Linked DNA regions of Rattus norvegicus. The protein of the gene in region 2 purifies or fractionates together with the protein of the main gene of each other region. This does not show direct contact. Links are inferred from orthologs where the notes say so. Each region holds a gene or a part of one and is shown on either strand. Other genes may lie near its edges. The genes, in order: Cdk20, Foxj1 and Fbxo11.

Region 1 (7,026 bases), on a different chromosome or scaffold from region 2:
GAGACCAATCAGAATGGCTAAGATCAAAAACTCCAGTGACAGCAGATGCTGGTGAGGGTGTGGAGAAAGAGGAACACTCCTCCATTGTTGGTAGGAATGTAGACTGGTACAGCCATTCTGGAATTCAGTCTGGAGGTTCCTCAGAAAATTGGACATTGCACTATCTGAGGACCCAGCTATACCTCTCTTGGGCATATACCCAAAAGATGCTCCAACCAATAACAACAATACATGTTCCACTATGTTCTTAGCAGCCTTATTTATAATAGCCAGAAGCTGGAAAGAACCCAGATGCCCTTCAACAGAGGAATGGATACAGAAAATGTGGTACATCTACACAATGGAATATTACTCAGCTATCAAAAACAATGACTTTATAAAATTCATAGGCAAATGAATGGAACTGGAAAATATCATCCTGAGTGAGGTAACCCAATCACAGAAAAACATACATGGTATGCACTCATTGATAAGTGGATATTAGCCCAAATGCTCGAATTACCCTAGATGCACAGAACAAATGAAACTCAAGAAGGATGACCAAAATGTGGATGCTTCACTCCTTCTTTAAAAAGGAAACAAGAATACACTTAGGAGGAGATAGGGAGGCAAAGTTTAGAACAGAGGCAGAAGGAACACCCATTCAGAGCCTGCCCCACATGTGGCCCATACATATACAGTCACCAAACTAGATAAGATGGATGAAGCAAAGAAGTGCAGGTTGACAGGAATCGGATGTAGATGTCTCCTGAGAGACACAGCCAGAATACAGCAAATACATAGGCGAATGCCAGCAGCAAACCACTGAACTGAGAACGGGCCCCCATTGAAGGAATCAGAGAAAGGACTGAAAGAGCTGAAGGAGCTCGAGACCCCATATGTACAACAATGCCAACCAACCAGAGCTTCCAGGGACTAAGCCACTACCTAAAGACTATACGTGGACTGACCCTGGACTCCAACCTCGTAGGTAGCAATGAATACCCTAGTAAGAGCACCAGTGGAAGGGGAAGCCCTGGGTCCTGCCAAGACTGAACCCCCAGTGAACGTGATTGTTGGGGGGAGGGTGGTAATGGGGAAGGATGGGGAAGGGAACACCCATAGAGAAGGGGAGAGGGTGGGGTTAGGGGGATGTTTGCCCGGAAACCGGGAAAGGGAATAACATTTGAAATGTAAATAAGAAATACCCAATTTAATAAAGATGGGGGGGGGGGGGGAAGAATGAAAATAAAAAATTTAGCCATGAAAGAAAATACCTATTTCACTTCCTTCTAATATAAGTAACCACCTTTGTTCCAGCTAGAGATTTAAATTACTAGTAATTAGCATTTAAATTACTACTATGATATGAGGGTGGTGATACAGGCTGGTAATACAGCATTTGAAAGATGGAGACAAGATATCAAGGTCATCTCAGCCACAGAGGGAGTTCAAAGCCAACCTTATCTTCTCATCTTGAAAAGAACAAGGCAAACTGGGGTTGGGGTGGTGTAAAACCATCCTCCTGTGTGCTGTGTGTCTGTGCTTTGTTTTATGTGTTACAAGGTTTTCAACGGTGCCTGCTCTATTCTACCTTACTAGTTTACAAAGTTCCAAGTGTGGTAGCTGCACTGTCTCTGCTGAGTCCACCATCTGGAAACCCAAAGATGTTTTCTGTTCCTTTCACTGTTTCCTGTGTGCCCGGTTATCAGAGTTTTTAAAAAAGGTTTTGCAGAGATCACTGAAGGCATTGGTTTATAAATCACCAAGTGCACTACCTTTTTATCAGTCTGTCCAGACACAAGCTACCACCTGTGCATACATAAAGAGCTACAAGAAACTAATGGAGCTCAACTGTCCTAGAGTCTGCAAAGACGTGACCAGAGACATCATACTCCTGAAAAGAGCATCTGTGCTCTTCCTTGTAAGCATTGAGGCCAGGAGCCAGCCCTGTTAGTCACCTCTGCGCTGCCAGGACTCACAGAGTGACCAATACATGTTAGGCCTACAACAAACATTTGAAAAATATAACATATCTCCTGTGTGTATATTATATACATGCATGCACATATATGCATGCATGCACATATATGCACACATACACATACACATACACTTTCTTTTGAGACAGGACTTACACAGTAGCCTAGCATGACCTTCCACTCTTAGGAACCCTCCTGTCTCAGACCCGAGTGCTAGGATTACAGGTGTACATCACAACTACTAGCATATTTTGTCACATGTCTGAATAATGGTAGTTAAGATCCTATCTAATCCATCCCTGAAACAGTATCCTGTCTTAGCTGTTATATAACCTTGCATAAGTCTGAATAGCCAATAGCCCTTTCATCATCTTCTCTCTGCCCTCTCCTCTTACTCCTCGAAATAACGGGATCTAGACCAGTGGTTCTCATGCTGTGGGTCTCAACCCCCTTGATGTCACATAGATTTACACTATGATTCATGACAGTAACAAAATTACAAAGCATGACAAAAATAATTTTATTGTTGGGGGGAGAACTGTATTACGGGGTTGCAGCACTGGGAAGTAGAGAACCGCCTTTTAGACTCATCTTAATATATTCCTATGAAATAAAAATCAAGCTGGCTGAGTCACACTGGAATCTACTTACCGAGTGAATTCCAGGAAAGCCTGCTTCGAATCTGCACAGCAGGCTCTGGCTCACTGACTAACACCCAACATGTGGAAAGTGTGCTTTGGGAACTGCACTGCCCATTGCTGGGCCTCAACTTCTGGACCTCACTCCCATGTGAGCTCTCAAGTCCCATGAAGAGCACAGGAAGTCTCAGAACCCAAATGGCCCTTACTAGAGGCACCATCTGGGTACCTGACCCCTACGAATTAAGGCCCTTTCCCTAACAACAACAGACAAGGTGCAAATACAGGCAGAAACACCCAGGGCTTTTATATGAATCTCAAAGTCTGACCCAGTGAAGCCAAAGCCAAAGCATGTCTGACTTCCCAGCTGTGTCCCCATATGAAGACAGCTTATTCTCTGTGCTTCCCCGAGGTGGTGCTGTAGTATCAATGTCCTTGAAGAGGAGACAGACCCTGAGAATCTCTCTAAGGCCAGGTAGCACCACTGAGAGATGGCCCCAGAGAAGAACACAGATGGCAGTTTCTGGGGGCTGTGAGTCTCTTTCTCTGCTGCGGTGAACATCTTCATGGTTCTGCCTGTCAGAGCCCAGCCCTCAAGCACGCTAAGAAGCAGAACCGGGTGTGGTACATATAGCCATGGGGAGGCCATGGGGGCCAATCAGGATGAGGCAGAAGAGTAGCTGTCTCGGTGCACCTGGGTTGAGCAGGAAGGACTGGACCAGCATCTCAGCCCTCTGGGATGAAGGGCCGGATCAGTTCTGGATTCAACAGTGACTCCTCAAGAGGACGATCCACATGGAAGTCATGGACATGGGGGGGCCCTGGATGAGCCTTGGGTGTGGGTCCCCCTGGGCGCTGAGGAATTGGCAGCTCAGACGGATGGGCAGGCAGAGGAGCTGTGAAGAAATACTGATGCAGAAGGGCCTGCGGGTAGCAAATAAGGGGTATAGAAGAAATCCAGTCACTATCTGTCCCCAGGATTATTCAACTGACTCAGCAAAACTTGCCTGTGTGCCTATGTCTGGAGCACTGGCCCAACAGCTAGGAAATGGCAGTGAGCTAAAAGAGTCTTGCCAACAGAGGAAGGGGTGGGGGACATAAACCAAAGAAGGGGCAAAATGCACAGTATGTCCCCAGCAATAGAGAAAGCGTGTCGTGTAGCTATTCCCACCCAGTTGAAACATTCCCTCTGAACAGGAGGCTCCTTGAAAACTCACAAGTCCCAGGAAGCACCTGAAACTAAAGCTCAGCTCAGGTCAGATTTGTTATCAGTGTCCTATCTGCAGTGGACAGACACTAGTTCACGTCTCCCAGGACAAAGCTGGGGAGAAAGGCTGAAGAAGGCTAGAGAGATGCTGCAAACTGAAGAGCTGGGACACAGGAGCACAAGCCCTAAGGAAAGCCTAGGGCTTGAGAGGAGCAAACAGGAATAGGAACACAGCAAGAGCGGTCAGGGTGAGAAAGAGACGACACTCACACCTGCAACTGCAGGAACGAACCAATGACAAGGGAGAGGGCTGGACAGAGAACAGGGGTACTGACTCCTACTCTCTTGAAGCTTCCTGGAGAGCACCCCATCAAAACCCCATCTCCAAGGTTTCTACCCTACTCGGCTTCTAAGAGTCACTGACTTGGCAGGGTCCCAGGGCTACGGAGCAGAGTATTGGGAACAATAACCTTTAACCCTACCTGGGAGGCTGCAATACGCTGTCGTGGAGGGTAAAGGAGGAACTGACCCAGCAGGTCCAGGGCCTGGTGAGAGGCATCAGGCAGCACCTCCTCCAGGGGCACTGGTGCCTGCTCCTTGAAGGAGATCTTGTTGTAGTCAGGCAGCTCTGTGATCTCCTGAGCCCAGAGGAGAAAAAAAGCAATGAGAACAGCCCCACCCACCACTCCTGATTCGGCTCTCCCACCTGGATCAGGTATTCAGTTCTTCATTCAGCCCAGAGTCCATCACCACCCACGCATGCTCTCCTTCAGCTCCTCCCGCTCTCTGAGGCCTGCTCCTTGCCCAGCTTACTGAAATGCTACCCCAGATAAAACCTGTCCCTCCTGCAAGGCCAAGACATTGATCTTCACTAGTCAAGGGAGAGTGGGGCCCAAGACACCTACATAGGGATAAGTCACTTCCTACTGGGGAATGGAGCAAACCTGGCCCCTCCCCAGCAATGGTTGCTACTAACCGGCCAGACTCGAGGACTCGGGGTACCCAGGATTCGAAGCACACAGCACAGTTGTTCAATGTCGTTTTCTCCCGGGAATAGGGGGGATCCATTCAACAGCTCTCCCATAATACAGCCTACAGCCCTGTGGATACAGATCTAAGCGGCTGGAGATGTCACATGTGGGCAATCAAGCTACCCACACAAGCTTTAACTCCTCACGGGTCAGGGTCAGGGTCCAGAGGTCTCAGGTACAGCCATGTATTACCCCTCCACAGACATCTAGAGCAGAGTATCCCCTTCAGCTCCAAGACCCTTAGAGCCTCATGTCCGGGACACCCAGCTCCTCCTTGATTTGGGGGCTGGGCATATATGAAAAATAACCCAAATCTCAGACCTCTGGACACCACAAACCATCTCCCTACTCTCCCGAAATGCTGAACTCTCATACTCAGGGACCCAAGCTTCACTCTAGCTCACAGCTATAGAATCCTCGAGTCAGATGCCAAAACATACTACACGCCTTGTACCTCAGACTACCTTACCCCCATTCCCAGAAGCCTCTCACCTGAGACTACTCTCCCAACTCTCCCCACACCAACTCAAAAGCATCAGGGTGAAGAACACAGATCCCACGATGCTCAGACTGCTCTGACCAGAGAGGACATCCCCACAGCCCACATTACCCTCGTCTGCCCCAAGTATCTCACCATAGGTCAACACCCTGGTCATACTGCCGAGCACCGTACAGGAGCTCAGGAGCTCGGTACCACCTGTGGGGAAAAGGGTTTGAGACCACAGCTGGATTGTTGGTCTGATAAAAAGTTCATCCCAGCCTCACAGCCCACGCCGGAACAAACAAAAGGCGCAGAAGTATCTCTTCCCCAGTGAGAAGACTGGCAGGGATATGGCTCCACTACCTGGTGGCCACCTGATGTGTGTAGAGGCGACCACCATCTGGAGAGAAGACCCGGGCCAGTCCAAAGTCAGCTATCTTGAGCTGGCCTGAGGCACTGATGAGCAGGTTGGCAGGCTTCAGGTCCTGTGCATAGAAAAAGGAGCATCAGTCCCCCTGTACCTAGACAGGGCTTGGGGACAGGGAGATAGGCAGCCAGGCCCCCATCTCTTTAAAGCCCTATCTCAAGACCCTCTGACTGAACCCTCTTCAAGGACTAGCTCACCCCGGCCCAACAAAACCCATACTGGTACCAACCCGATGCACGATGTTGTTGGCATGGCAAAATGCAACACCTTTGAGCAGCATCTGCAGGTAGCTCTTAACCTGTGCTGGGGCTAGTGGCCTCTGGGCATGGCGCACCACCTCCGCCAGGTCCGACAGCATAAACTCGAAAGCCAGCACAAAGCCTGCACCATGTGGGAACACAGCCTTCAGCTGTACCACCTGAGGAAAGACATCCCATAAGCCTCTAGAATCTAAACTGGCCTCCAGACCTCCTTGGCTCCCACCCCACTACCAACAGCGCCAATAACCCAGGCTCTGACAGAAGACCAGGCCAGACAGAAACAACCAGAGAGCTCAGGCCACTATGATAGTGCTCTGCTATCCAGCGATAAGATGGTCCCTACTCTCCAGCTAATAAGGAAAAAAGATCAGGTGACTTGGTGGGCAGCAGCAAGCACCCCACTGCTCAACCCATCCTACCCGCATGCAGATCAACTGGAGAGGGACGCCCAAGTACCAACTGTCACTCATTATCTCTAGGACCAGGAACCGGCAACCTGGAGACATAACCAGAAATCGCATCTCCCCTGGTGTTGAAACAATGTAGGCACATCACACACAGTAGCTACCGGTGTCTTAAGGCCCAGGCTGCACCGGGTAGTGAGCTAGGATGCAAGGGCTCTGAGGACCTTAGAAAACAGGGAATAAATGGCCCACAAAGAATATGTTTAGGAACATATAAGGACTAGGAACAGAGGGCGGTGGGACTGTGAGAGAGCAAAGGAAGAGTGTACACTTTATTTAGAAGGGGTTTGGTCAGGGGTAGGCCTGGGGAGGAGGTCTGAGCAGGGAAAGCAGAACGTCCAAGACCCAAGGGCTAACAGAGATCGCTAGAGGGACAAGAAATAAGTGTCTTTTTTGAAGCAGTGGGGACTTGAACTCACTATGTAGAAGATGATCTAATACTCTGCATCCTCCTGCCCCCACTCCCTAAATACCAGGATTACAGGTGTAAACCACAATGTCCAGCTGGAGAGTACATCCTTTAGAGGATGAACATGCCTGTTCTGTCCTGTGCTCCT
Region 2 (7,047 bases):
GATACCAGGAGCTTTAGACTTGGCTAGTGTGGTCCTGGAAAGGCTTTCCCCCAAACGCCTGTGCCCAGGACCCTGAGGGGAGATGGGGTTGGAGAGCACGGTCTCAAACCTGCTATGTAGCTGAGGATGACCTTGAACTTCTGATTTCCCTGCCTGGATTGCCCAAGCATTAGAATTCCAAGCCTGCACCACTATACAGCTCTCCTTTATGTGGCAATCACACTGCTAGGGGGAAATCTGCTGTGCTGCCCAAGTGTGATAGGCTGAGCTTGAGATCCCATCGCCCGTTCAAAGGCTACATCCTATTTTTTACTTGCCCAACATTCCAGTAGCCCCTATCACACTTAAGACTCACACCAGTGTACGCTGAGCAATACCTACATTTCCTCAAAGCCGGGAGCAGAAGCAACGGGGAAGTTCCCTTAGCCTGGGATGGTGGCACATAGAGCTGCCTCCTCCCCTCGAGGGCAGTAGGAAGGCGGTATTCAGTGTGTGGTGTGACCCGGGAGGAGTGGTGGAAGAAGCTGAGATGAAGAAGACGCAGGTAAACAGTGGCCAGGGACCCTCAAAAAAGCCATTATAATCAGCCCTTCCCTCTGCCACACAAGTGTTCCGCCCGAATTCATTCCATAATCCCGGCACCCGGGTTAGAGTACCCTTTGCTCTGCCTTGCACAGCTCTGCCCCCTCACTCTGTCCTTTTACTTCTTGGCGAGCAGAAATAGCCCATTCTCGGGGTGGATCCCCATCAGCTGACACACTCTACCCAGTCCATTTGGAAACAGTTCCTTTGTCAGGGTCCAAGCGAAAGGGCAAGCACGTTCTCTTGGTGCCTTTGGCTCCTCACCACACCACACCTTTCTATACGTGGTACTGTAGTGATCTCAGTCTCCTCAAGGAGCCTTTTGCTTTACCTAATTTCATCCCACCAGAGTTTTTACCTGCTGTGGCATCTGCCGGGCACAAACCTGAACACTAAGCCATCTCACTGGGGAGCTAGTCCTGTCCACCTGGTGTTGGCTGCTGGTTGCTCACTTTGTTTTAGGGCCTGCACACCTGGGGTGTGTGTGTGTGTGTGTGTGTGTGTGTGTGTGTGCCATCTGTGTACCCCTCACACTCCCTGGAGTACACTTGTGGGCACATTACAGTGGGGACATCAAGATGCAATATTTATGGATTGCTGCATGATTCTTAAAATTAAATAAAACTGTTTACAGGGGCAGGGGAGCCGTTAACTACAAAGTGAATTCGTGTGTGAACGTTTCTGTTAGTGGCTCACACCCAGCTCCATTCCTGACTAAGCCCTACCTACTTCTGCATCAGGCTTAAACCGGATCACTTCCAATCCTGCAGCTCGTCAATAATTCAAGAGCCCCAAAGCTGATGGCAGTAAGGGAAGCGAGGCCCAGAGGCCCTTATATTTATTAGTTCCTGTCCCTTAACCAGTTACTGGCTAAATCAGTGAACAAATGGCCTCTTTGAGAGGATCTTGCAGGCCCGTGGCTTTTCTGCTTTTACCCACTGGCTGCTTCCTAGGCTGTCTGGAAGGAGAGGCACCTTCGCAGATGCCCCTGGAATGCCAGCTTCCAGGAACTTGAGCAGGGTGAGTGGGTGAGCTGCTTACCGGGAGACGCTGGGTTACCCTACCCGCCTCGATGTGTCTGCGAGCTGTGTGGCCATTTCTGCGGATTATAAGCGACAGGTGGCATCAGAGAGTCAGACTTGCCTGTGGGCACCAGAGAAGACACTCAGGGACCAGAGAAAGGCCCCAGAAATCACACAAAGACCACTGGAAGCCCGGTGAGGGGAAAGACTCCAAGGGCACGCTTCCCCGAGACCTGGTCTGCAGAATCCGAGGGTGGGTCCCCTCAGCGGTCAAACCGTAGGCGTGGGGGAGGGGTTCCCGGGGCCTCGAGCGGGAGCCGAGCGCCCGCCGTGATACCCAGCGCGGGGCCCACGGGCGGGAATGCACAGGGTCAGATCTCGGTGGCGGGTAGGGGGCTGGGTGGCGCGGGAGAGGGCGGCAGAACCAGAGAGTTCCAGAGAGTTGCCGCCAGAGGAGCTGCAAGGGCCCGCGGTCTCCTTGGAGACGTGTTGACCAATGACAGCAGCGGAAGCTGTTTATGGGGGCGGGGCGTCGCCATGGCAGCAGGAGAAGCCTTCGGAGCGTCTACTTAATGCCGGTCCCCGGGCCGTCGGCGCTCAGAGAAGCGCCGTCGGGCGAGGGGGGGGGGGCGCGACGAGGGGCGCCAGCAGAGCCCTCGAGCTGGGGACAGAGAGCCGCGGGAGGTGGGAGGAACTTCTTCCAGAACCTTCCTCTAGCCGGCTGCGCTCTGAGCCAGGTAAGGGACTAGGAGGGCTGTGGACCACGGGATGGGAGGGCGCCGGGACCTGCTGACTATCCAGTCCATCGCTCGCCCACGGAAGTAGTGGGGCCAGTAAATGAGATCTGAGGAGTTCGGGAGATCGCTTCCTGCCCCTCCATAACTCGGTCCTGTGACCTTCCTTTCCCGGGACCCTTCATCTAATACCTCTTTTCAAGGATCAGATGACCTACTCTGCCCCATCCGCGTCGTACTGTCCCCCTGGACTATTGGGGTGTGATCTTAGTTTCTCACTCTTTGGGAAAAAGAATTAGATCGGGCCTTCCTTCCCTCTTCCCTCTTTGTGATCAACGAACCCTCCAAGGGCAGATGGAGAGAGGTGGAGACGCGGGTTCAGACCAGGGTCCTGTGTTAACCTGACCTCTCCACAGGCTGCGTGGATGAATGTGAGGGCCTACCCCGTAAGGCGCCTCTTTCCTCTGGGGTTAGGGGAAGAGTGCTCAGTTCCGTGGTGCTCCCGCAGGCCCCACACTCGAGTTCGGAGGAGGCGACCCCCGGGGTCGCAGAATGGAAGTGAGTGTTCTGGAGACTGAGTAACTGGAGTCTGGGGCACCAGCGGGCTGGAGAGCGCGGCGGGCCACTCCGGCTCAGCCTGTGGATGTTGACCGCCCCTTCGAAGAGTCCCCGCAGACATGGCGGAGAGCTGGCTGCGCCTCTGCGGAGCGGGGCCCGGGGAGGAGGCCGGGCCGGAAGGTGGCATGGAGGAGCCGGACGCCCTGGATGACAGCCTGACCAGCTTGCAATGGCTGCAGGAATTCTCCATTCTCAACGCCAAGGCCCCCACTCTTCCCCCGGGAGGCACCGACCCCCATGGCTACCACCAAGTACCGGGTTTGGTGGCGCCCGGGTCACCGCTGGCGGCAGACCCTGCCTGCCTTGGGCAGCCACACACACCCGGCAAGCCCACATCGTCGTGCACATCTCGAAGCGCGCCCCCAGGGCTGCAGGCCCCGCCCCCTGACGACGTGGACTATGCCACCAACCCACATGTGAAGCCGCCCTACTCGTATGCCACTCTCATCTGCATGGCCATGCAAGCCAGCAAGGCCACCAAGATCACTCTGTCGGCCATCTACAAGTGGATCACGGACAACTTCTGCTACTTCCGCCATGCTGACCCCACCTGGCAGGTAGGGGAGAAGAGGTGCGGGTGGTGGCCACTCCCTCCTCACGCCCTCCTTCTGGCACTTAGCCAGACAGGCATACCAGATCTGTAAGGCCAAAGAGGCACCTGGCTGTGAGGTCAGGCCTCTCCTGAGGCCTGAACCCTGCCAGCTACTGGAAATGCTCTATTTGGCGCCAGGGCCCTGGAGGTACAGATGAAGTTCTAAGGAGAAGAGGGACCGGGAGGGCTCAGTGTAGCCTTTTGTGGGATGTAACACTAAAGCACATTCATGTCCCATGTCCCAAGAATTCCTAAACAGTGTTCCGCCCAAGGAATTTGTCCGAACTGGACTCTGAAATGGAAGCCAGGCGGCCGCCCTGCCAGGTTCTGCACCCCACCTTTTGCATTTGATACAGAGAGTAAGGCAGAGATGAGCCCTACGGCTACAAAGATCAACTGATCACCTGATCCAGGAGCAGGGGTCATGAGGTCATCCTAAAGCCACTGACCCAGCCTCCCACCTCAACTCCTCCCCAGTTTCCTGCCTCTACCCCCACCTCCTCAGCCAGCCTCCCCAGGGGGGCAATTACCTGAGCCTGGTGCTTTCCACAGGGGCGCTGCTGCAGCTGCAGTGGTGGCTTCGGGTTCTAAGTCTCCAGGACCTGGCACAGAGCAGCCAGCGGGCCAGAATGCCGTGTAAACACCCCAGCCCTGTTAGCCAAAGGGGCACCCACTCCCCGGCCTTGCTAGCGTAGTCTGGGCCCCCCGGACACCAAAGTGGTGTGAGCAGAACTAAGCTGCCAGGCGTGAATAGGGTAAGATAAGGCTCAGTAGACAGCACTTTGGCCATCCTCCGATATCAAGATCCACGTGCTAGAGATGAAGCCTGGGGTTGTGCACTCTTCCCTAAGGCGGCCAAGGGGCAGGGAGCAGGATCACAGTCCTGAGCCATTCCAAAAGGGCCCTAACCGTGGGTCAGAAGATCCCCATCTTCCCCTACTCAAGGCCTTTGCCAACTCGGGTCCCAGAAAGGAGCCTTCTGCACTTGGCTGGGTAATAATCAACTGAGGTTTGGGTGGGAGGAGAAGGTTGTGTGTGTGTTGGGGGGAGGAGGTTAGAGGGTTGAAGGCCTAGGCCAGCAGCTGGCTCAACAAACAAGGAGTCACTAAATCTCCCCCCAACACACACACACACACACACTCCTTGGTCACCCAGCCCCCTCCCTTAACCCACCCACTTCACAAACAGAGGGAACCAGCCAGGCAAAGGAGATGGCAGTCCAGGCCGTGGGGGAGCTAAGGGCTTTGGCCAGGACCTGCAAGCAACAGGGTAAGGGAGGGAGAGAGGGAGGGAGGATGACAGAGAGGGTGGTACAGAGAGCCACCCTGTGGCTCGGAGCTCGGATGACTGAGCAGGCAGATATCCCAGCAACAGGGAACAAAAGCCCCCTCCCTGTCCCCCTCCCTCCCCAGCACTCTGGGCTCCTCATACCCTGTGGCTGGTGTCCCAGAGTCCCAGAGCTACAGCTGCCTGGTCAGGGCATCGGGTTGATCCGCCCCTCCCCCCCCCCACCCCGTCTGCAGGGAGGATGCAGGAGGAGCACCCGGTGCCACTTCACTGCCGGTCCCCTGACCCCGATGCCTTTTCTCTTGTTCTCTCGCTGTACCCAGAATTCCATCCGCCACAACCTGTCCTTGAACAAGTGCTTCATCAAAGTGCCTCGGGAGAAGGATGAGCCCGGCAAGGGGGGCTTCTGGCGCATCGACCCCCAGTATGCAGAACGCCTGCTCAGTGGGGCCTTCAAGAAGCGGAGGCTGCCCCCGGTCCACATCCACCCTGCCTTTGCCCGGCAGGCCGCCCAGGAACCCAGCACTGCCCCCTGGGGTGGGCCTCTGACCGTGAACAGGGAGGCCCAGCAGCTACTGCAGGAGTTTGAGGAGGCCACAGGGGAGGGAGGCTGGGGCACAGGAGAGGGAAGGCTGGGGCATAAGCGAAAGCAGCCGCTGCCCAAGAGGGTGGCCAAGGTCCTGCGGCCTCCCAGCACCTTGCTGCTGACCCAGGAGGAGCAGGGTGAGCTGGAACCCCTCAAAGGTAACTTTGACTGGGAGGCCATCTTCGAGGCTGGCGCACTGGGTGAGGAGCTGAGCTCACTGGAGGGTCTGGAACTAAGCCCCCCGCTGAGCCCCAGCTCACACGGAGAGGTGGATCTCACAGTCCATGGCCGCCACATCAACTGTCCTGCTACCTGGGGCCCTCCAGTGGAGCAGGCTACTGACAGCCTGGACTTTGATGAGACCTTCCTGGCCACGTCCTTCCTCCAGCATCCCTGGGACGAGAGTAGTAGTGGTTGCCTGCCCCCAGAACCCCTCTTTGAAGCAGGGGATGCCACCCTGGCCGCTGACCTGCAGGACTGGGCCAGTGTGGGAGCCTTCTTATAAAAGGTCAGGCCCCACCCCATCTCCGGACAGTGCTCAAGTCAGGGCCCAGAACTGCCTCCCAAGACAGGCCCTTTGGACATCCCAGCACCCAGGCAGGGACTGGGCCAGGTCGCTGGAGGGCCACACTGCTGCCAGCTGGGGATGTCCTCATATCCAAGCCCAGAAGAACTGGGAACTGGGGACTGCCTCCCCCTCATCAGCAACCCCCATACACACAGTGTTTCATCCACCCGTGTTCCCCCAAGCCCAAGAATTGGCAAAAGCACCCCTGCCCCTGCCTGCCCCCCTGTACTCCGAGAGCCGAAGCCCGGAGGGGTCCTACCTACCGGGCCTGGGAGGAACTGAACAGGGCCCTCACCAAAGCTTCACCTCACCCACTTCTGCTGCTTCTCCAGGTCCCTACCCAGAGAAAGTTCCCAGGTACAACAAATGGCTCGTTAGAGGATAACAAATTAACCCCCAGGAGGCCCCTCCCGGCAGAGTTCTCTCAGGGGCCCTGGCAGCCTTGGCCAGGGACAGCGAGGGCAGGGGACTGGGGAAGGGAACAGAAAGAGGAGGCAGAAACCAGGTGGGGGCAGCAAGGTGGGGTGAGATGGTCTCTAAGCCTTCTGGGGCCTTCTCCTGGCCCGACGCCTGTGAAGGGAGGCTGCAAGCTTTTGAGTCTGACTTGAGGGTGAGAGCAACAGGAAGTTGGGGCTTGGGGTGGTTGGGGCAGGGGCAGCCAAGCTGCTAGGTGGGGGGGGAGAGAGATTAATATAGCGACTGTAGTTATAGCTAAGACTTAACTGGGGAAGGGGTGCCTGACTTACTGGAAACACTGGGACCAGGAAGGGGACAAACCCTAGGCCCCTGTCTGCACTGGGGGGGACCAGGTCTTGCTCCACCTTGACCCCTGGGGCTGGAGCCTGTATCTACCCTCCACGTGGAGCAAGTTAACCTTTTTCATGTAAAGTTCTTTACAATAAAATTTTTTTTTCAAAATAAAATTTAAAAAAGAAATCTGAGCGTGGTCGTTCTTTCCAGCTGTCCGTGGGGAGGGCGAGAGCCCGTGTGGGAGCTTGGGAGGGAAGGGCTGATGTATCTCTTCTCCATATCACATGGGGAGCGGCCAGGAAAACAAG
Region 3 (7,069 bases), on a different chromosome or scaffold from region 2:
AAAGTGTAACATTTATTAAATATGAAACAATTCACACCATACCAACTATTATTTCCCGTCATACAGTACAATGAAGAAAGCTATTCATTATATATAGTAAGACAGGCAGACTTTCCATTTTACCACTACCATTAGTTTGGGCTACATAATTCTTTGACATGGGGAGCAGCCCCAGGAACCATGTAGTGGTGGGGTTCAGTAGTATCTATGGCCTCTAACAAACTTAATACTAGAGGTAAGAGCCCTCTTCTGCTTTGACAAACACAGAGTATCTCAAGACTGTTAAAGTGTTCCCTGATAGTTGAGAAAGCAAAATCACCCCCAGCTGAGAACCACTCACACCGACGGACTAGAAACAGAAGAAAGCTCAACTATGAAGGGCATGGTGTGTCTATAATCCCAGCAGAGACGGGTGGGTCTTTTGTAGGCCAGCCAGGACTACACAGTGAGACCTTGTTTAAAAAGAAAAGAAAAAGGGTGGAATTTTTAAATTACTAAGACCTTTTACTTATGTACAAATTTCAACAGATCCAGTGGAATCATGGCCATCCACGCTACTGACGCTTCCTACATTTTCTTTTCTTTGCAGCAGTCGTCCATGTGACAGAGGCTGGCCTTCGGCTGTGATCTTCTGCCTGGGTGCTGTGTGCTGGGATTGCAGGTGTGTGCTGCTGTGCCCACAGCTAGTCTTCCATGCACTTGTTTACCTGACAAAGCTTTGAATTATGTGGCGTCGTGTGTGGGTTTGTGTACGAGTGCAGCTGGCCAAGCAGGCCGGAAGAGACAGGACACTGGATGCCCTGCAGCTGGAGTAACAGGAAGTTATCTATGAGCTACCTGTGGGTGCTGGGATCTAAACTCAGGTTCTTTAGAATAGTGCATGCTCTTAACCACTGAGCCATCTCCCTCTAGATGACTTTATTTTTTTAAAGAAATGTATCTACAAATACACAAGTCTGTATTTTTCTGTATTTCATACCAACTGTTGAAAACTCTCTTTCCATGGATTTGGATGTTCATATTCTTCTGGATTAATCTGGTAGAATTTACCAGGTTCAGGATGCATCATAGGCCGGGTATATTCAAATACTTCCATATATAATCGTTTCCTGAGGGGATAAACAAATTAAAGATATCCTTATAAAATATCCTCTAGATTAATAAAATATTAAATATATGTTAGCTGAATGACCAAAATTTCAATAAGGATAGCCAAATTAAATAAATATAGAAATTAATTAACTAATGTACCAGTCCCTGCAATGGTACTGGTGGTGCAGGGTCTTCTCTGTTGTCTAGGCTGGCTCTAAACTCTTAGACTCAGAGAGCCTCCTGCCTTACCTTCCCGAGTAGCTAGGAGCAGACATGTACCAGTAGGCAGACAAAATACTTTCTTTTTTTCCCCTTGCAGACAGGATCTCATTATGTAGTCTTGGCTGTCCTGGAACTCATTCTGTAGACCAAGCTAGCCTTGAAATAACAAGGATCCAACCACTTTCCTGTGCCTCCCAAGTACTGGGAGTAAAGGTGTGTGGCACTATACCCAGCTGTCGAAATATTTCTTAAAATGACTAATTTTAAAAAGGTGGGCAGTGGTGGCACATGTCTTTAATCCCAGCACTCAGAAGGCAGAGGCAGGCAGATCCAGACCCTAGGCCCACTACGTCTACAGAGTGAAGTTTCAGGACAGCCTGGGCTACACACAGAAAAACCCTGCCTCAAACAAACAATAAAAAGTTTAAAAGTTAAAAAGAAAAGTATGTGGTTTTTTTATAATTTATTTTATGTATGTGAGTACACTGTGGCTGTCCTCAGACACACCAGAAGAGGCATCAGATCCCATTACAGATTGTTGTGAGCCACCATGTGGTTGCTGGGAATTGAACTCAGGACCTCTAGAAGAGCAGTCAGTGCTCTTAACCACTGAGCCATCTCTCCAGCCAAGTATGTGTGTTTTGCCTGCATCTATATGCACTACATATGTGCTGTGCCTGCAGAGACTTGAAAAGATACTGGAACCCTACAACTGGTTGTCCTGAGAACAAACTGTGAGAACAGTGTTCTTAACCAGTGACCATCCTCTCCAGCCCAGAAACCAACTCTCACCACACACAGTGTGTGGTCTCACTCTGTAGCCCAGGCTGACCTGCAACTCTCTCTGTAGGCCAAGCTGGCTTTAAACTCTGCATCCCTCTGCTAGGGATGGATGATTCCAGGTGTGAGCTACCATATCCAACTAGCTCTGCTTTTAAACAGGAGGCGGCACTGCCTGGAGAAGCCTGTACTAACCCTTGCATCACCGGCCTCTTCTTTGGTAAAGTCACACCCATGCTCCTGGCACATCCTACTTCTGGGCATCTCTACACTGACACATTAAGTCTATACTGATGTGTTTGTTAAACCCAATGCTGCTTCATAAAAACAAAAACCAAATGTAAAAAGAAAATGAGTTGGGAGTGGTGACATACAATGGCATCCCAGGCTGAAACAGGAGGGCAGTGTAAGGGCAGCCTCAGCTACGTAGTCATTCTGCGGCCACCCTGTGCTGTAGAAGATTCTGTCTGCGGTACTCTACCCGACTCCATACATAAAGACTCCCTTCCAAATCACTTGCTTGTTATGAACTTGTAAACAAAGAAATAATTCCTGATTTATAATATTTCTTGGATCAACAAGTTCTCCACATTTACGATAACCAGGCAACAGAATTTATAAGCATTTTAATTTTCTTTTAATTACTTTGTTATAACTAGAAGCCCGCACGTCCACTTCCTTCCCTGGCAGTTTTGGCATCACACAGCATCCTTCAAGGTAACAAGGAGTAGGTTTCACTCACCACAAAATTGGATCATTAGCAAGTTCACTGAAGCGTTTACACACACAAGCAGCTCTACAAAGATCTTGTTCCAGCAAATAAGAGAATATTTTTAAAACTACTTCATCTGGTAGCTTCTCCTGAAGATACTGTTCAGCGGGTGCTGCTGAAAGAGATTAACAGAACATAACAAGTCATTTACCAGCAACGACTTCCTCACCAACAAACAGCATATGCCTTTACTGATATATTTCCTTTTTAAAAAAAAAAGATTTTATTTATTTTGTGTACATGAGTACACTGTAGCTGTCTTCAGACACAGCAGAAGAGGGCATCAGATCTCATTACAGATGGTTGTGAGCCACCGTGTGGTTGCTGGGAATTGAACTCAGGACCTCGGGAAGAGCAGTGTTCCTAACCACTGAGCCATCTTCCAGTCCTGTATTTCCCTTTTATCTTACATATATGTACATACAAGCATGTGCACACACGCATGCACAGTGTTAGCTGTTTTTGTTTGTTTTGTGTTTAGGCAGTCTTTCGAAGCTTCCTAGGTCGGTCTTAAATTCACTACTCTTTAACTTCATTTTCCAGCTCCCAGCCCTTTACCTCCCAAGTAGCTAGCTAGTGTTATGGCTACACCATAGCACTATTAAAAAAAACTTTTATATAAAAATAAGACAGGCTGGAGAGATAGCTCAACATTTAAGTTTGTACTGGTCTTGCAGAGGACCCATTTTTTGGTTCTCAGCACCTCTAACCTGAAGCTCACCACATCTGCAAATCCTGCTCCAGGAAATCGAATGCCCTCCTTCTAGCTATTTAGGTAAGTACAACAATCTCCTCACAGAAGCACACACACACATAACTAAAATTAAAGATACATTTTAAAAAACGTTAAAGAGGGAAGGATTAGGGTTCTGATGTATTTTTTAATAGTAACTACTCAATATATTCAAATAATATTTAATTTTCAGTTTCACTTACCGCCACCATCATCATCACCATCATCTCTATAAAGCCCTGTCTATCTGTCCCGATACTCTCTAGACCAGGATGACCTTGAACTCAGAAATCCCCTGCCTCTGCCTCCTGAATACCAGGATTGAAGGCATGTGTTACTATGCTAGGCTCAAACATGAACTTTTGAAACGCGTCTCACTTTACTTCCCTCTCGGAGTACCTGACAGATCTTGTGACTTCCCAGACACTCTTGCCCGCTTCGCTCGATGGCCGAAGTTTTCTGTAGTTGAAGTAGAGGCGCCCTTCAAAACCAAGAAGAAACTGTCAGTCAAGTATTCCCACTGTATATAATTCTCACAAATTTTGACCCATTCTTTCCTTACAAAAACAATTACAATTAAGTCACCTCCATGCTGTTCTTTGTAGGACACGCTGTTCTTTTTGGCAAAAGAGTTTTTCTACGAAGCTGGTATGGACTGTTTTGTGCACCAGGACCTGATTCTTCTGCAACCATATCTGCAGGAACATCATCTGTCAAAGATGAAAGAAAACGGTATCCATCTTTTTACTAAAATCTCAAATTCAGCAAGAGAAGGAACAACATAATTTTGTACGGAATTCCAGCCAACCGGATGACTATCTGACAGACATTCCATATCTTGTAGAGCTTGGAAAAAAGTTTAAGAAAAGAAAGGGGGTGTGGGAAGAGGTGAAGAGGTGTTGACGAGAAGAGCGGGTCAGAGCAGCTCAAGCTGAGCAGGCAGGCTGTCCCACTGCAAGGCCAAGTGGAGGGAGAGGGACGGCTCAGTTCTGTGTACCAGACAGCAGTCAGGGAAAAGTGAACGGGTAGAGGGTGGCCTGCCAGATGGTGCTAGAGATTTAGAGCATGAAAGAGATTCACAGCAGGGAGGGAAAGGGAGTGGCCTCGGGCAGAGCAGAAAGAGCCTCACACAGCTGAGGTGAGAGCAGAGACAGGTACACAACAGAGTAAAATGAGTCAGAAAGTACACAGGGCAATGGAACCTGGATTTCTGTTCAAGAAAACAGCTGTAAATTAAAAAAAAAAAAAAAAAGCACCAGTAAAACCTTTGCTGTTGAGCCTGGATTTAGAGGCATAAAGTGTGAAGTCCCAGCCATAGAAGGAACACAGGTGTGAACATTGAGATGTGCAGAACGGGTGCTCATCAGCAGAAGCTCTCCCCACATTTAACACAAGGCTTCCCAAAATAGTTGAGCATGGCTAGTAGTCGGATCTTGCTTTCTGAATAACATTTTCTATAAAAGGAAAGTTTCATACTTGTTGGAGAAATGGTGGTTCCCAGGGTAGTAGGGCAGGAAAGTACAAAATGAGCCTAGAATATCTTGGGGGCAGAAAAAAAAAAGGTGTGATTAATTGATCAATCGATCAATCGATCGGTAGGTAGGTGGGTAGGTAGGTAGATAGTGGATGATAGGTAGGTAGGTAGAGAGGGATGGATGGATGGAAGTGAGCTTAAAAAGGCAAAACTAAGCTAGTGCATCAAATAACAAGCCACAAACTGGCAAACTGTAACCCACTGGAAGTCAGGCAATTGTTATCTGCCCACAGATTAGGAGAACAATAAATGCCAACCCCGATAGGAGCTCATCGTTCACATCAATAATGACAGACTAAAACTGCACCACCCGACAGACAGCACAACAGAATTTCCACGAAATTCCTGACAAAGATGGAGAGCAATGAATCCATTATGAAGAATAGCAAAGCTGGAGAGCACAGCTGTTCTGTAACAGGACTTGACGAGATGAGCAAGACTACACACAACCTGTGGCTCCCGTGAGAACACTCCCGCCTTCAGCCACCCCAGTACATGAAATCTGGACACCAAGAGTAGAGCACAGGGTGTATTAGTGTTAACTTCACGGCTCTTTAGTTTGTAGGGGCATGCACTCATAGACTAGGGAGTAAAAAGGCATGTTAGCTTTTAAAGAGCTGGGGGCCTCTGCAGTTTGAATTTTAAAAATCTTGAAAATTTCGATAGTATAAATTCTTGAATCATAAACACCAACAGACAAAAGAAAAAGATGGTTAGGAAAAAAAGTGACTGTAATACATTAAAAAGGGGCAATCTGTTCACAAATCAATACATGACCAATAGCCTAGTTGTGGTGGTACATTAGATGTGGAAAGATAGTTCCAAACTAAAGAAATACAAATAAAAACTACAGTGTGATAATTTTTATCTACCATATTATGCAAGATGCAAAAGATTCTTTACACACGAGTGTTACCAAGAAGAGGAAAGAATGCCAGGAGTTTGTGGTCCATGCCTTTAGTCCCCACACTTGGGAGGTTGAGGCATCGAATCTCTGGGAGTTCCAGGCCAGCCTGGTCTATGGAGCAAGTTCCAGGACAGCCAGGGCTACACAGAGAAACCCTGTCTCAAAAAACCAGGAAAACACACACACACACACACACACACACAAAGGGAGCAAAAGGAGACAGGTTGTTCCGCTGCTCTCTGGAAGGCTGGGTGGCAAACTGCCTCTCAGTTGTCCCATTTCTGACAACTGATCCTGCACCTATGTAGAAATCAGTAGTACAGACCAAGATTGTCATTGCTGTAGCTGACCTACTACAGAACAATCACCAAAATCATCACTGTCAACCAACACAAGGACTGTTTTGTGGCAAGTAATTCTGTACAATGTGATGAAGAACTACTTCTTATACACAGGTTAGTAAACAAATCGGGGTTGAGAATTACAGCTTAGTAACAGTGCCTATATGTACAAGGCCCATACTGCAAAACACAGACAAGACAATCAATCATACAAATAAAAACTATACAAATCATACAGATAAAAACCAATATATATAAATGAAACTTGTTTAGGGGACACACACACTCTCCATAGTGAAGGGAATCAATTTGAAGCAGCTCTTTGTCTTGAGGATTTACTGCTGTGAACAGACATCATGACCAACTCTTTTTTTTTTTTTTAAGATTTATTTATTATGTATACAGCGTTGTGCCTGCATGTTACTTGTGCAGGCCAGAAGAGGGCACCAGATCCCATTACAGATGGTTGTGAGCCACCATGTGGTTGCTGGGAATTGAGCTCATGACCTCTGGATGAGCAGACAGTGCTCTTAGTGTCTGAGTCATCTCTCCAGCCCCATGACCAACTCTTTTTTGGGGGGTGGGGGGGTGGGGCTGAGGACCGAACCCAGGCCCTTGCGCTTGCTAAGCAAGCACTCTGCCACTGAGCTAAAACCCTAACCCAGCACCCCCCAACCCCACCACGACC

The links.
Region 1: the proteins of Foxj1 (region 2) and Cdk20 purify together in Homo sapiens (affinity purification with mass spectrometry; 3 studies listed by BioGRID and IntAct, counting the BioPlex papers as one, with this or other methods). This does not show direct contact. The link is inferred for Rattus norvegicus from reciprocal best matches to the Homo sapiens genes FOXJ1 and CDK20.
Region 3: the proteins of Foxj1 (region 2) and Fbxo11 purify together in Homo sapiens (affinity purification with mass spectrometry; 3 studies listed by BioGRID and IntAct, counting the BioPlex papers as one, with this or other methods). This does not show direct contact. The link is inferred for Rattus norvegicus from reciprocal best matches to the Homo sapiens genes FOXJ1 and FBXO11.

Annotation. Positions count from the first base shown.
Region 1 is NC_086035.1:704,406-711,431, forward strand, and holds the end of Cdk20 (cyclin-dependent kinase 20), read right to left. Parts: intron 6,164-7,026; coding exon 5,975-6,163; intron 5,804-5,974; coding exon 5,682-5,803; intron 5,535-5,681; coding exon 5,472-5,534; intron 4,921-5,471; exon of another isoform or gene 4,907-4,920; coding exon 4,783-4,906; intron 4,445-4,782; coding exon 4,289-4,444; intron 3,524-4,288; coding exon 3,326-3,523; 3' UTR 2,458-3,325; downstream 1-2,457. UniProt on the Homo sapiens protein: Required for high-level Shh responses in the developing neural tube.
Region 2 is NC_086028.1:102,065,041-102,072,087, reverse strand, and holds Foxj1 (forkhead box protein J1), read left to right. Parts: upstream 1-2,846; 5' UTR 2,847-3,015; coding exon 3,016-3,513; intron 3,514-5,158; coding exon 5,159-5,926; 3' UTR 5,927-6,918; downstream 6,919-7,047. UniProt on the Homo sapiens protein: Transcription factor specifically required for the formation of motile cilia. Acts by activating transcription of genes that mediate assembly of motile cilia, such as CFAP157.
Region 3 is NC_086024.1:12,289,183-12,296,251, reverse strand, and holds the start of Fbxo11 (F-box only protein 11), read right to left. Parts: upstream 4,311-7,069; 5' UTR 4,310-4,310; coding exon of another isoform or gene 4,293-4,309; coding exon 4,185-4,292; intron 4,081-4,184; coding exon 3,999-4,080; intron 2,982-3,998; coding exon 2,837-2,981; intron 1,110-2,836; coding exon 980-1,109; intron 1-979. UniProt on the Homo sapiens protein: Substrate recognition component of a SCF (SKP1-CUL1-F-box protein) E3 ubiquitin-protein ligase complex which mediates the ubiquitination and subsequent proteasomal degradation of target proteins, such as DTL/CDT2, BCL6, SNAI1 and PRDM1/BLIMP1.